Astyanax mexicanus: one gene and its partner. The protein of the gene in region 1 purifies or fractionates together with the protein of each later gene. This does not show direct contact. Links are inferred from orthologs where the notes say so. Each region holds a gene or a part of one and is shown on either strand. Other genes may lie near its edges.

Region 1 (7,075 bases):
TGTCAGCCAGTCTGGCTGTTGCTGCCACTGTTTAAGAACACACACCCATGTGACCCCTTATCACTTAGTCAGTTCTCCGCCCCCTTTGCACAATGTGACGCGAGGGTCAACGAGTGTCTGGACAATCCAACAGTGTGTTTGGGGAGGGGGGTACATCCTGTACCTCATTTACTTCACATTCAACATGTGCGATTCTTTTGCTATAATTCAACAGTTGAAATGTAATAGAATAGAATACAGTCAGATCAAGAAACTTTTTACAGTGGGGTTTTGCCAAAACGTTTTAGAAAAAAATGAAAATGATTAAGTTGTTGCAACTAGTGGACTGTGTTCCTGGCAAAAAAGTCATGCTGCTCACAGATTCACCAACATGTATAGAAAACTTCCTCAGCCAAACAAATGGGTTAGCTGCAGTAGCTTTCTTTCTCTGTTTGCACCTTGACTTCACATCAAGCTGCACCAATCCTTGATCCAAATGTAAATGAGTCTGGCCTCCTCCAATGCCTAAAAATGCTTGGCTTCATAACAGGCCCTGATGTGGCTTCTGTCTTTAACAGTAAAGCAGCATTGCACTGCCCCATAAAGGAAACACTTTACACGTGATTTTCTGGATAAGCTAAAAGTGAACAAATCATGTGGCCTGAGGAGGTAGTTACCAGATATAAAGTGTAGTTTACAGCATGAAGAGCCTGTGTAACACCTGCACACACTGCACCTTTTAGATCAGCCTCTCCGGAGTACTAATAAGCTGACTCCACCTCTTCCATACACCTGTAAGACTTCAACTGATTACTTGGACTATTGATACTGGTTCTCTTACTGTCTCCAGTTGTAAGATATTGCCACTCTTATCAAGCATTATATACTTTGTTTGTTATTCTTGGTTGTTGATCTTTGCCTGCTCTTTGACTATGAATTTTGCCTTGTGTTCTATTTTATTTTATTTTTTTATCTCTACCTGTTTTTGACAGCGATTTTGGCTGGTGTTTTTGCATAAATAAACCTGCCTTGCATTTGCATCCAAACTATCCTGGTTGCTTCTTACAGCCTGGATTACCAAGGATTACCAAGGATTACCATTCAAATTTTACATGTGTATTTGTTTCATATTCATTCCACCAATTTTTTATTTGCTCAGTATTTTAAAGGTTGAAGGTGAAAGTTTTAGTAGGTAGTTTGAGGAGACTTGTGGGTAGTTGGAGGTTGGAGGTAAGAATGGAGGCTAGTTAGAATGCAGGTCTTGAGTGATTGGTATTTGGAAGTAAGGGTGGATGTACTTAAATGAAAGTGCTTGGTAGTTGGAGATGATAATTGGTAGTTGTGGTAAGAGTGGTTGGTAGTTATAGGTGAGACTGGTAGGTTGTTGGGGTGAGTTGGGTGGGTAGCTTGAGAAAAGGTGGTTGGTAGTTGGAGGTTTGAGGTGAAAGTTGTGGGTAGTTGGAATGAGTGTGGTGGGGAGTTGGGAGGTTGAATGTGATAGTGGTGGGGAGTTGGAGGTTGAATCTAAAAGTGGTGGGTAGCAATGGGTAAGAGTGGTTGGTAGTTGGAGCAGAGAGTTTTGATTAGATGAAGGTGAGATTGGTGGGTAGTTAAAGGGTTTAATGTGGAAGTTTTAAGATGAAAGTGTTGGGTAGTGGGAGGTGAGAGTGATGGGTAGTTTGTGGTGAGAGTGGTGGGTGGTTGGAGGTGAGAGTGGTGGGTAATTGGATGTGAGAGTGGTGGGTAGATGGAGGTTAGAGTGAAGGGTAGTTAAAGGTGAGAGTGGTGAGTAGATGGAGGTTATGGGTAGTTGGGGTAAGAGTGATTAGCAGTTGGAGGTTGGAGGTGAAAGTGGTGGGTAGTTGAAAGTGAGAGTAGATGGAGGTCAAAGTGGTAGGTAGTTGCAGTTGAGAGTGGTGGATAGATGTAGATGAGAGTGGTGAGTAGATGGTAGTCAAAGGGGTGGGTAGTTGGAGGTGAGAGTGGTGGGTAGTTAAAGGTGAGAGTAATGGGTAGTTGGGGTAAGAGTGATTGGCAGTTGGAGACTGGAGGTCAAAGTGGTGGGTAGTTGCAGTTGAGAGTGGTGGGTAGTTGGGGTAAGGGTGAGGGGCAGTTTGAGGTTGGGGTAAGAGTGGTGGGTAGTTGGAGGTAAGGGTGGTCAGTAGATGGAGGTGAGACTGGTGGGTAGTTGAAGGTGACAGTAATGGGTAGTTTGGGTAGGAGTGATTGGCAGTTGGAGGTGGAGGTCAAAGTGGTGGGTGTTTGCAAGTGAGAGTGGTGGGTAGTTGTAGTTGAGAGTGTTGTATTGGTAGTTTAGAATGGTGTGTTGGTTGTTTGGTAGTTGTAGATAAGATTGGGGGTTTACCTGTGGTTTGGTGGGGTCCGTGCTGAGAAAGAAGCGGAGCAGCTGGAGTTAACAGCAGTGCAGAAAGGGTTGATGTGTGTGAGTTTGAGAGAGGGCTGTTATGATACAGCTCAGCGACTTTGCATTGCTAATGAAGAGCAGTCACGCTGTAGCCGCTCCCATGCTACCATTAGCATACAATGGCTGCTTGTACTGTTCTTTTTACCATTCAGATCAGTCCGCTGATACACACCCACCACAGCACAGAGACTAACACTCTGACGCACATCCACACACACACACCAGTTATACAGTGGGACTGCATGTTTTAGACATAAAGCAGGGCACGCGTAAAAAGAGAGAGAAATCATAAAAAATGGACATCTTTCAGAGAGAACAAAAACAAGCAATGACAACAAGCCGCATGTTATTTTTTAGTAAACCATTAACTGGTTTACATTATTATTTTATTTTTCATCTTTTCAGTTTAGGGAGGAGCAAACGTGCTGCATTCCATTTTGAACTTGGATGTTGGACGTTCCAAGTAGGAAATTTAAAATATTTTCTACCTGGAAAACTCAAAGAGGGTTACTAACCCTGAGTTCAGAATCCAAGATGGCTGCACTGCTCACCAACAGTAGTAACTGCAGTAGTACAAGTTGTAGTAAATGTCCAAGTCTTTTTTTATAAATATTTTAAAATAGTACACAATTATTGCACAAATTGCTGGTCAAAAGCTAGTTAACGAGCTAGCCTGCCAACATTGGGTGTGTTGTTTTTTTTCTGGATGCCTAGCTGATCTTGAGTCCGGGAGACCCACTGCCATGCACATTGTAATGGTTTTTCTGCTGTAGTACACCCAACTGAACTCACTGTGAATGAACAGATTCTCAGATGAGGAGAGATTAGAAGATGTTTTAAGGTAAACAGTGCTGTAAAAGCATTGCTTTTGGTAAAATTGCTGTTTGTATTTATTGTAATGTTAGTGTTTTTACTGAGCTGATAAACACTAACTTCACAGAAAGAAGCTTTTTCTTTACTGAAATTCCCACAGGTGCCTAAAACATTTGCACAATACTGTTAACAAATTATACTTGAGGAACTAAATCTTTAATTACTGGAGTATTATTTTTTTCTCCTGCCTCTACTTTTGTCAATGCATATTTTCAATGAGTATAATAATACACTGATACATTTTTGAGTGCTGCATCATTACTCATTAAAATTAAAAAACACGCATCTGTCCTTTGACAGCTGAAGTTGATTTTACAATAGTGATAGACCGACTAGTGACCTTTTGTGCAAAATGGGTTGAAATATCCTAATGACTTTTGGGTAAGTATGTTTAGAGAGTTGACTGAAGACATGATGTACATGTACTCTAACTTGTACATTTATGTGCTTGTGCTGGTGTTGCAGCTAAATATATTGTAAATGCCCTTTAGCCTAAATATTGAAAATATTATAAACAATATGAAATTTAAATGTCTGACTGCTCTCTGTTATTATTCATAACACTACTACTTTTACTTTCAGTACTTGAGTTGTACATTTTAGAATAAACTACTTGCAATATTTAAGTACAAAAATGTTGAATACCTTAGTACTCTCTGCTGACAACTTGTGGAAATGCGGATTTTAAAATAGATCACTCTGTGTGTAATACATGTATTTATGAGTTTCACATTTTAAGAGAGAGAGAGAGAGAGTGTTGAGTTGAGCTGGGGTGAGCTGAGGTGAGGTGAGAGGGAGAGAGGGGGACTGTGGGTAAAGATGGCAGCTTCCTGTGTGTGTGTTGATCTGCTGTAGCTGTGGTTGTGAGGAGGTCGGCGGATCTAAATGCTGGTTTGATCGCTGGATTAGTCGCTGGTTCCCTGCAGGACTCGGTGATTCTCCTTTTTGATGGACCCGGGCTCTAACGGGGAGTCGCCGGGCTCCAGGCAGCCCAGCCTGGACTCACTCTGCAGGTACTTCCGCCCCTTACAGCCAGCAGCGAGCTAACGCGGCTAACCGCTAATACTGAGGGAAAAACACAGATTACCTGGAAAAAACACAGCGGAGTTCACAGAAACAGTTTAAAACCCACTACTGGAGAATATTTCTGCTACACGGAGAAACACTAATGAGTACTAGACCCCGGTTAACCGGGAGGTTTCCGCTGGAGCTAATTAACTAGTTAGCTAACTGAGCTAGCTAACTGATAATGTCAGTTTATTTACATGTTCAGCTAACTATCATTGTACCTATAGCAACACTTATAGGTTAGCTAACTAAGCTAAGCTAGCTAGTGTTGACAAGTAGCCACTCCATTTAACTGTCGTGTCATTAAATCAATTACATTGTACCTCGTTAAGTATCTGCCACAGCTAACTAAGTTATCTGTCAGTGGTGTAAAAGGCACATACACTTTGTATCTAGCTTCTTTAATAAACGTAACTAGATACCCAGGGTGAAATATTACTCCAGTAAAAGTAGCTAAAGCCCCCTTAAATACAGAATATATATATATATATATATATATATATATATATATATATATATATATATATATATATATATATATATAAAACAGGTTTTAATATGACTTTTATGCCCTGTCATGTTTATAACAAGACTTTTCATTAATGAAAACCGTAGGTACATTTCACTTTGGGCTGGCCCTAAAATAATATTGTGATACTTCACAGTATTTTTGCGATAGCGATGTGACGTTATGTATACAAAACATTGAATTAAAGAAAAGTTGATTTCAAGAACAAACTACTGCAACACAGTGAATATTACATTTAATTTGGTGAAATTATTGCATACAATATGAAGTGGAAAAGCCCTAATTGAGATTGTAACAGAAGTCAATGATCCAACATGTAGTGATGCTAATACTTTATATATCCAGGACTGACGGAGAATAGTGTGAATTTTCCACTTTGCTACAAACAACAATAACAGTTGTACCCTGATAGTCCATTTGGGCCAATGGTATTTAAAAAATTGGGGGATATTTTTGTGTATAGTATGATATGGCACACTCCTAGCATCACTCTTGGTTCACCTGTTTTTTATTAAAATAGTTTCCAATAGGGAGAACCAGGTGAATATAACAATTTTTTGCTTGGTCTTGGTAAATAGGTCTTGATATATTTGCAATTTGAGGTAATTTGGATTGCGTCTCCCTGTTCTCTGTGTTAACATGCAGACTGTGTTCATGTGCATTCAGACAGTTCATACAAAAAGAGAGGAAAGACTTTTAAAGCTGGATTGCTCAAATTTGTTGGCACAGAACATGTGTTTGTGTATTACATTTGTAATTCCAAGTTATTTATTCCACAGCTCCTCCACATCTCGGTCAGATCGGTCCTTTCAGACCAAAGGCCCATCAATCTCTTCAGAGCAAAACTCCAACAGTGATCTTTCACCCCAGCTACGGGTGAGAATCATAACTATTAGTTCTTCATTATATTTTAAATAGGATAAATAAATTAGGAATAATAATATGTATATTTTATAAGTAGAGCTTTTCTAAAGCTCATTATTGTTATTGTTATATTGTTATGTCCTGAATTTTTATTTTTAACTAAAATGTGTGTTTGTATTTCACAGGTGAAGGGAAAGCCTGCAAAGGTAGTATTAGTTTGCCTAGTTTACACATTAATACACAAAACAAGCTCATATTGTTTGAAATTATAATCTCTTTCTCCCTCTCCCTCCCTCTCTCTCTCTCTTTCTCTCTTTCTCTCTGTCTTTGTCTCAGACATTCAGAGACTCAGGGAAGGATGATGTTGAGCTCTTGCCAAAGGAGGTGGTGCAGGACGTGGGTGAGGCACTAATAAACATTACTTTAACAGATATAATTTTAAGTATTCTGGGTTAAGGCTGCTCTGAAACACCAGAAGCACCATTGAGGCTCAACACACTTGGAGGAGGACACTAACTGTTCTGTAACAGCTTTCAACAAGATATGCTATCTGACACTTATATTTTAAAGATTGTAATAATTTCTGCTGTTTTAGCACTTTAAGAAGATTTTACAATTACAAATATGCAAACATGTAATTTATTAGAGTACTGTTTAGGTAAAAGTAAAGTGTAATTTTGGGTATGATTTTAAAGTAACCCTTTTATGACCCTGTTTTAAGGTCTGCTGCATGTGGTCTACTGACCTCAGTTCTGTTTTTTTTTTTTTTGTGTCTAGGCAAAGATGTGACATACATCTGTCCATTTCTTGGAGCTCTGCGGGGAACACTTACTGTTACCAACTACAGACTGCTCTTCAGAGGAATTAACAGGGTAATACACATAATCATGAACTGCAGATACTATCAGCACTTTCACTACTTCTAGTTTGCATTGGACCACATTTAAAACTATTGCACATTCTCCAATGTGACTGTTACACACATTAGGCCAACAATGCTAAAATGATATACTGTGCAGTCCTATTACAAACTGCATTGTTGTGACTTTTGTTGCTTAAAATGTATGTACGTGTATATATATATATACTAATATAAGATGTTCACTTTGTATATTTCTGACCCTGTGTTGGTTTCAGATGCCATTTATGTCCATGATGAGAGCCATGTAAACTTTATAGGTTCTTTATGACCGATCAAGTAGCAGTATGTTACTGTGTTACTGCAGCTTTAAGTGTGTGTGTGTGTGTGTGTGTGTGTGTGTAGGAGCCTGGCGTTGTGCTGGATTTGCCACTAGGAGTGATCAGCAGAGTGGATAAGATTGGCGGCGCGTCCAGTC
Region 2 (7,419 bases), on another chromosome or scaffold:
TAACTTGTTAGCTAACATAGGCAGTTTGATATGTCTCCAGTTTAGTTTAGCATTTTTTAATGTCTACAAGGGATCTATGTAGAGCTTAGATTTTCTGCCTGAACCCAACTTGGGTCGGGCTCTAGAAAATAGTCTGAGATGTAGGCATCTGCTTTTTTAATTATATATTTTTTATATATAAAGCTCTGGCGTGATAATCACAATATAGCTACGTAACCAGTTTTTATCGTTAACCAAAACGAACGAAATAACCAAAACTGAAAGTGAAAAAACATTTTTTTTAACTGAAACTAATAAAAACGGTAATTAAAAGGAAAAAACATCTAACTGGAACTGTACTGTGCGTTTATAAAACAAATTGAAACTACTGATAGAATACCCTTCGTTTTCGTGTTGTGTAGCCTGAAAGTCTTAAAGGCTAAAGGCTAGCCAGCAAAAACAGCTTCAATACGCTAGAGCATTTTAGACCACATACCACTAATGACCCAACTACAACTTCCAAGTACCACCTACAAGCCATTTCACTGAAACACAGTAAGATAGACATGTAATCCACATATAAATGGTTCATGCCATATCCTTTGCCAATATTTCTACACCTGTTGTGTGAGCTTGCCAGTGTCTGTCTGTATGTTAGTTTGATTAGGTACGTTTCTTGATTGATTATTGTTTCTGGTTAAAACAATATTCATACTGAGAATCTCAGAAAGATTTAGACAGAGGAAACAAGAGTACCAAGCAGTGAACTGCAGTGTTTACTACCTGATTTAACTATGAAATGGAATGGAAAAAATGCAATCAACTGTTGATTAATATATCATATCTTGTGGCGTACCACAGGGTTTAGATCTAGGACCAATTAAGTTAAAAACTGAGGTTAATAATTATAAAACTGTACATATGAGGGTGAAGGACTGAAGTGTAGCTTACATACAGGTTCTAATAGGTAAAGCACTGAACACAAATACATGTAATGTTAAGAAAATTACAGGTGAAAATTACTTAATAGATTTCAGTCCTTAATATTTTAATGCAAGCATTTTCTGTTTTGTGAGCTATGATCTGGGGTTGCTGCAGATGGTCCGGTCTAGGTTCAGCAACAGTATGTGCTGAAAGAATGAGGTCAGCTGACTACCTGAATATACTGAATATGGACCCGGTTATTCCAGCAATTAATTTTTTCTTCGCTGATGACACAGGCATATTCCAAGATGACAATGCCAGGATTCATGGGGCTGGAATTGTGAAGAAGTGCAGGGTTCAGGGAGCATGAAGTCCAGACCTTTGGGAACAGCAATGAGAATCTTTGGAATGTGCTTTAAATCACATCATCAATACAATCAAGATTTTGTGGAAATTTTAATAAAGCTCTCTGGACATGAGTAAATGTTTGTGAAAACTAAAGGCGGTCCTACTAAATATTAGCATGTGCCCTTTTTTGCAGAGGAAGTGAATATTGAAATTATTAGAATAAAATTGTATAAATAAGTAACTTATGAGTTTACGTATGTGTTTATTTGTCTCATACTTTATTTAGAACTTTATTTTACGTGTCTTTTGTTGGTTTATTATTTTTGTCTAAAATCACCCTCAATACTCTGAGCTGCTCTGAATATCTCGTGTGAATAAATGGAATTCCTGTTTATAGTATTTGGACTGTATTGGTTGAACATTCCTCTTTCCATGTTTTTGATCAACAGCATAATCTGAGCATGTTGTTCAGGAGGAGGAAGGATATGTGAGGAGAGAGCGTCCTGCCTGCTCACGCCGGCAGTGGACAGGAAGAGACCGTTACTGCTAACGTCTGCAATGGAAAATGACTCTGAGTAGCCCTGCCGGGGACCTTTTTTCTTTAGAAAAAACAAATGCCAAAATATCCTTTTACTGTCTATTGGCAACACTGTGCAGCAATGGTACTCAACCATTGAGTAAATGAAGAGACAATGTTTAGAAAGCAATACAAATCTTTTGAACATCTCAACAAAATATGTGCATTAAATGGAAAAACCTTAAAATCTTTCAAATGGGTGACAGGCCCACACATCACATATCTGCCTTAGACATGAATAACTCCATGCTGAGTTTGCTGTTATCTGGGTTTGTAAGAGTTTTTTGGTAAATGAGTGCATTTACGGGAGTGGTGAAAAGTAAAGTAAATTAGACTCCCACATACAGTGTAAAACATGCTAATTCTTACATAATGCAGCTTAAAAGTGACAGTCCATAAGTTTGTGGTTAGAAAGTTTTAAGCTTGTTAAACACCCATCTTGTTTGGGTCTGAACCAAAATAGCAGGTTTAAAAGGGGCCATGAACCATGGTCTGAACCAAAGGACTAGAGTTTGGTCCAACCAAAAGAGGTAGTCTGCTTAGATCTACTGAACCATGGTCAGATTTGTCTGCTGTGTGAAAACAGTTTTCTAGATGGTTCAGAATTTTAGACCAATTACAGGAATTTGAGTAGGTAGAATTTACCACTTTTAACTACATGTTGACAAGCCATAAGCTTCTGGGAGAATGTCCTATGGACAGTTGAGAAAAAAATGGGTCGTTTTATTTACGCACATCAGCTCAATGTTTACAGACGGAACAATTAAGCATGTATAGAAAAGAACACTGTCCCTACTGTGAAACATGGTGGAGGAGGCTCTGGGGCTGCTTTGCTGCATCTGGCACAGGGTGTCTTGAATCTGTGCAGGATACAATGAAATCTCTATCAAGAGATTCTAGAGAGAAATGTGCTACTCAGTGTCAGAAAGCTTGGTCTCAGTCGCAGGTCATGGGTCTTGTAACAGGATAATGACCCAAAACACAGAGAGAGCTAAAAGCACACAAGAATGGCAAAGAGGAAAACACTGAACTATTCTGAAGTGGTCTTCTATGAGCCCTGAACTAAATCCTATTGAGCATCTTTGGAAGGAGATGAAACATGATGTCTGAATAAGTCATAATTTTCAAACCTGAGACAACTGGAGCAGTTTGCTCATGAGGAGTGGGCCCAAATTGTGCATCAAAATATTAAAATAAGGGTACCATAATTTCTGTCCAGATCTGTTTCATGAGTTTATTTATTTTTGTAATAATTCTGTTGAAGCATGGTAAAAAAGCAATGTCTGACTTTTTATTTGTTCATTTTCAAAGAATTTTTATTTATTAATTGTCAGATTTTATTTTATTAATTCAGAGGTACCAACAATTTTGTCAGAAATCAGATAATAATATAACATCGGGGAGGAAATAGGACATAAAGATTCAGATATCCTTATATTTAACAAGCTGGGAAAATACAGTTTGATCAGTACTCTTTTATACTGACCTTACACCTAATAATTTTCAAGCGATTTCACTGTCGCAGACAAATTTCCAGAGTCTTTCTAGAGTCGAGTTGTGGTCGCCTTATCTCGATTGTTCAGAGTAAGGTGGTTAGGATTGAAGGTTTTAGTCAGTCATTTTTTTAGTCCTGGTGTTCAGCTAAAATCAACTGTGTTTAATGTTATCGTAAGTCTTAAGATATTAGACGTGATGACGTGAACAGTGTCAACCAATAGTAGAGCAACAGGAGGCAGCAAGGCAAGACTATTTTACATGACTGTTTACAAACGATTTTAAAAATAAAACACATTTTGCAGTTAATATGCCCTAATATGGTTCTTACTTTAATATGTACAGTATTTTAAATACAGGTAGCGCTTTAATGTCATCATTGAATTAAAATATATTATTGTGCACTACTTTGTCTTATTGTGCTGTGTTATTTCTGATACAAACAAGTATAATAAATACACATTTTGCAAGAATGTTCTTTATTGCTATGATTCTTTGCTATACAAGGTTGTAGCAAAAAGGGGGTTTAAAAAATATCAAGACTAACAGTGTGGCAGAAAAATAAACTGTTGATGGGAAGTAGTCTCTGATAAATCAAAGTATTGATATATAAACATTATTTGTAATTTAATATGTAATATGTATTGTATATTAACTCCATCTTAGAAAGAATCTAGTTGCAGTCTTGCAATTAGTGATCCCTAGTCTTTGCTAAATCTTAGCCTGTGACTAAAAAGTCTGTCTTTAAATATTTGTCTTTAGATGTGACAGGGTGTCAGACTAGTCTGTTAAAAGTATTTTTTAGATTCGTGTAGCGTATAAACAGCATAAGCTTGTAAAGCTTACTATTTTCTCACAGTTTTCTGTCTGTCAGTGAGAAAAATGGCTCGGTCTCAATGAAGGGCGTGGCCGCACTCCACACGGCGCGTTATTCGCTCCCCGCTGAGGAAGTGCCGCCTGAGTGGACGCTGGGATTTGATTGACAGCCGGGCGGTCCAATGAGGAGGCTCGGCTCCTGCGCACCAACAGCTTGGTGAATATTCGGCTGTGAGGAGGAGCCAATCCGGCGGGCCGGGCGCGGTTTAACAGGTTACTACTCTCCGAGCGCGGAAATCCTCCCGGAGCTCCGGCAGCGAGTCCGAGCGGCCGCGGGTTCACACCTGACCGGATCCGGCCCGCGATCAGCAGCGCCGCCGCGATGTTGAGTTTAGGAGGCGGAGGAGCGAAATCCAGCAAACCGTCCTTCGTGTCCTACATTACTCCCGAGGTGAGCGCGCCGTTACCGCTGCTAACCCGACTGACATTAACTAACACTAACATAACATTAACTAACTAACACGGCTAACTACCCAACTACCGAGCTCCGGTGTTCTGTCGAGTTATGCTACCCACCGATAGGTGCTTTTTACAGGACTGCGCATGCGCTGAACTACACTTTTTTGTAATGTTTTCATGTTTTTCACGATAATTCCTTAAGTTTTTATTGTGAACATTAAACAACCTGATTGAATGTTAAAACACTGCAAATAGCAGTTAACAAAATAATAATAAACTATAAAACTATATAAAAATACGTTTTGTAATCACATATTATATGACCTTAACATTTTACTTTACCTAAAACAGTGATTTAGCCTGGCCACATATCCTACCTAAGCTTCTTGCTGAGAGTATTTTCTAATATGGCTTCTAATAAGGTGCTTTTTTGGTACTTTTACCTTTTTTTTATTAATTAAATGCTACTAGTGCAGCGCGGTTTGACAAGGTAGCACAACTCGACAGAACACCGGCTCCGATCCAAACACAGGAGAGAAGTGACCGGGGGGAGTGAACACGCCGCGGTTTGGACAGCAGCCCGAGCTGCCGGAGGGGTTAAGGCTAGTTTAGTTTAGTTTAGTTGTGTTTAGCGAAGCTGCAGATAAACCCGAGTTTAACCCGGGTTTAGAGGAGTATTAGAGGTGTGTAAAGTGTCCTACAGAAACTACAGTTATAGCAAGGAGTTTATAGATGAGAACAGTCTGACTGAAACAGGCTGTTTATGTGGTTTATACACTCCTAACACTCTCACACCCAGTTTATCACTGACTGACTGACCCACTGCAGCTTTATATATAGTAAACAGCTCACAAGACTCATTCACTCACTAACTTACTCACTTACTATAAATACAGGCCTGTTATTAAAACGATATTACTTTCATTTTAAGACCACTTTATGCCACACTTTATGATACCATGGTAAAATAACAGCATAATAATGCATTAACACAATTACTTATAAAAACTGCTGTTCATTCTTATTATTATACATAATAAAACACTTTTTAAGATACTGGGATTTGGGTATAATATTTATTTAAATCCAATATTTATATATCCTAAAGTTTAGCATAAATAAACAAATCCAAGTTCTTTAAACAAAGTCAACATGCCATCTCTCTAAGTAAACACTACAGGCATTACTGAGCTCAGCAATAATGACTGAAACACACCGTCTCATTCAGTGTTTTTCAGTGCTTTATTTCTTTCTTTAATTAAAAGACATTAAATATTAAAGATCTGTCCTCAAAGCTAAATGTGCTACTTAGAAAAATCTAAAGTATAAAAACATATTCTGTTTTGTTTAACACTTTGTTTACAGAATAATTCCAAATATAGCTTTAATGTCTTTAATATTAATTTTACAAAATGAAAACACAATAAATGAGAAGAGGTGTGCCCAAACCTATGAATGGTACTGCATATTCTAAATAAATGTAACATAAATAAAGAGAGAGAAAAAAAAGAGACCATTTAAAGGTGAAGATGGATGATCACAAACCATCACACCGAGATAACTTATCCAAAAGCAGTGTGTAAGACTCGTGGAGGAGAACATGCCAAAACGCATAAAAACTATGATTGAAAACCAGGGTTATTCCATCAAATATTGATTTCGAAATTCTTACAATTTTATAAATATGAACTTGTTTTCTTTGCATTATTTGAGGTTTAAAAGCTCTGCATCTTTTTTGTTATTTCAGCTGTTTTTCTTTTTCTGCAAATAAATTCTCTAAATTACAATATTTTTATTTGGAATGTATGAGAAATGTTATCTGTAGTTTATAGAATAAAACAACAATGTTAATTTTTCTCAAACCTATACCTATAAATAGCAAAATCAGAAAAACTGATTTAGAAACTTAAGTGGTCTCTTACTTTTTCCAGAGCTGTATTATATATATATATATTTACAATATTATTATTATTATTATTATTATTATTAATATATATATATATATATATATATATATATATATATATATATATATATATATATATATATATATATATATAAAATAACAATTGTAGAATGTAAAACAGGAAGCAGCTCACTGCTCAGGATGCCACTGTTCCCACGGGATGTCCTTAAGTCATCTCTATGTAAATAAACAGGCCAGCTGTTTTTCGTTCCCTTCTTTCTCTTTATGAATTCATTAATTCTATTTAAAACCTAATGATGATTTTTTTTTTTTTTTTAAACCCCTTCAGGATATTTGATATATTTGTCATTAAATTAAGAGGTGCAATCTGAAGGTTTTGCTTTGTGCCCTTTTTCCTTACTCGTCGTTTTGTAACCACAAATAAAAAAGTAGTCTTAATGTGTAACTTTTTCTTTATGCTTTAAGAAAATTGTGTCTTTTGCTATTTTAGCATATATTTTAAACATGTTTTCCTTAATGGAGTATATTGCAGGCAATTCTGTCTTCTTCTCTCCTTTTCTGTTATAAAAACATGATAAATATGTTTTCCTGAGTCTGTCTTAGATTAATAGAATTTAAAACACAAACATGTCATCTGGTAACTCATCTCTCTTTAACTCAGAGTCTGCACTTAGAAAATTGCTGAATTTTAAATGTACTGGTAGTTTAAATGATGATTTAAAAATGCACTGTGACAACAAACAATGCAAGGCCTGGTAGACCACTAAAACTGTCCTCATCAAATAAAGAGTTTGGTACTGACTCATCATGCACCACTCTGTGTAAGCCTTGTGATAAATGCACAGGTAACACACAGTGCTACTTGACAGTAAACATAACATATACTGTGTGCTAT

The links.
Region 2: the proteins of mtmr2 (region 1) and mtmr12 purify together in Homo sapiens (affinity purification with mass spectrometry; 5 studies listed by BioGRID and IntAct, with this or other methods). This does not show direct contact. The link is inferred for Astyanax mexicanus from reciprocal best matches to the Homo sapiens genes MTMR2 and MTMR12.

Annotation. Positions count from the first base shown.
Region 1 is NC_064408.1:38,192,746-38,199,820, reverse strand, and holds the start of mtmr2 (myotubularin-related protein 2), read left to right. Parts: upstream 1-4,065; 5' UTR 4,066-4,225; coding exon 4,226-4,290; intron 4,291-5,653; coding exon 5,654-5,750; intron 5,751-5,923; coding exon 5,924-5,944; intron 5,945-6,074; coding exon 6,075-6,138; intron 6,139-6,515; coding exon 6,516-6,610; intron 6,611-7,002; coding exon 7,003-7,075. UniProt on the Homo sapiens protein: Lipid phosphatase that specifically dephosphorylates the D-3 position of phosphatidylinositol 3-phosphate and phosphatidylinositol 3,5-bisphosphate, generating phosphatidylinositol and phosphatidylinositol 5-phosphate.
Region 2 is NC_064429.1:14,739,993-14,747,411, forward strand, and holds the start of mtmr12 (myotubularin-related protein 12), read left to right. Parts: upstream 1-4,409; 5' UTR 4,410-4,520; coding exon 4,521-4,589; intron 4,590-7,419. UniProt on the Homo sapiens protein: Acts as an adapter for the myotubularin-related phosphatases. Regulates phosphatase MTM1 protein stability and possibly its intracellular location. By stabilizing MTM1 protein levels, required for skeletal muscle maintenance but not for myogenesis.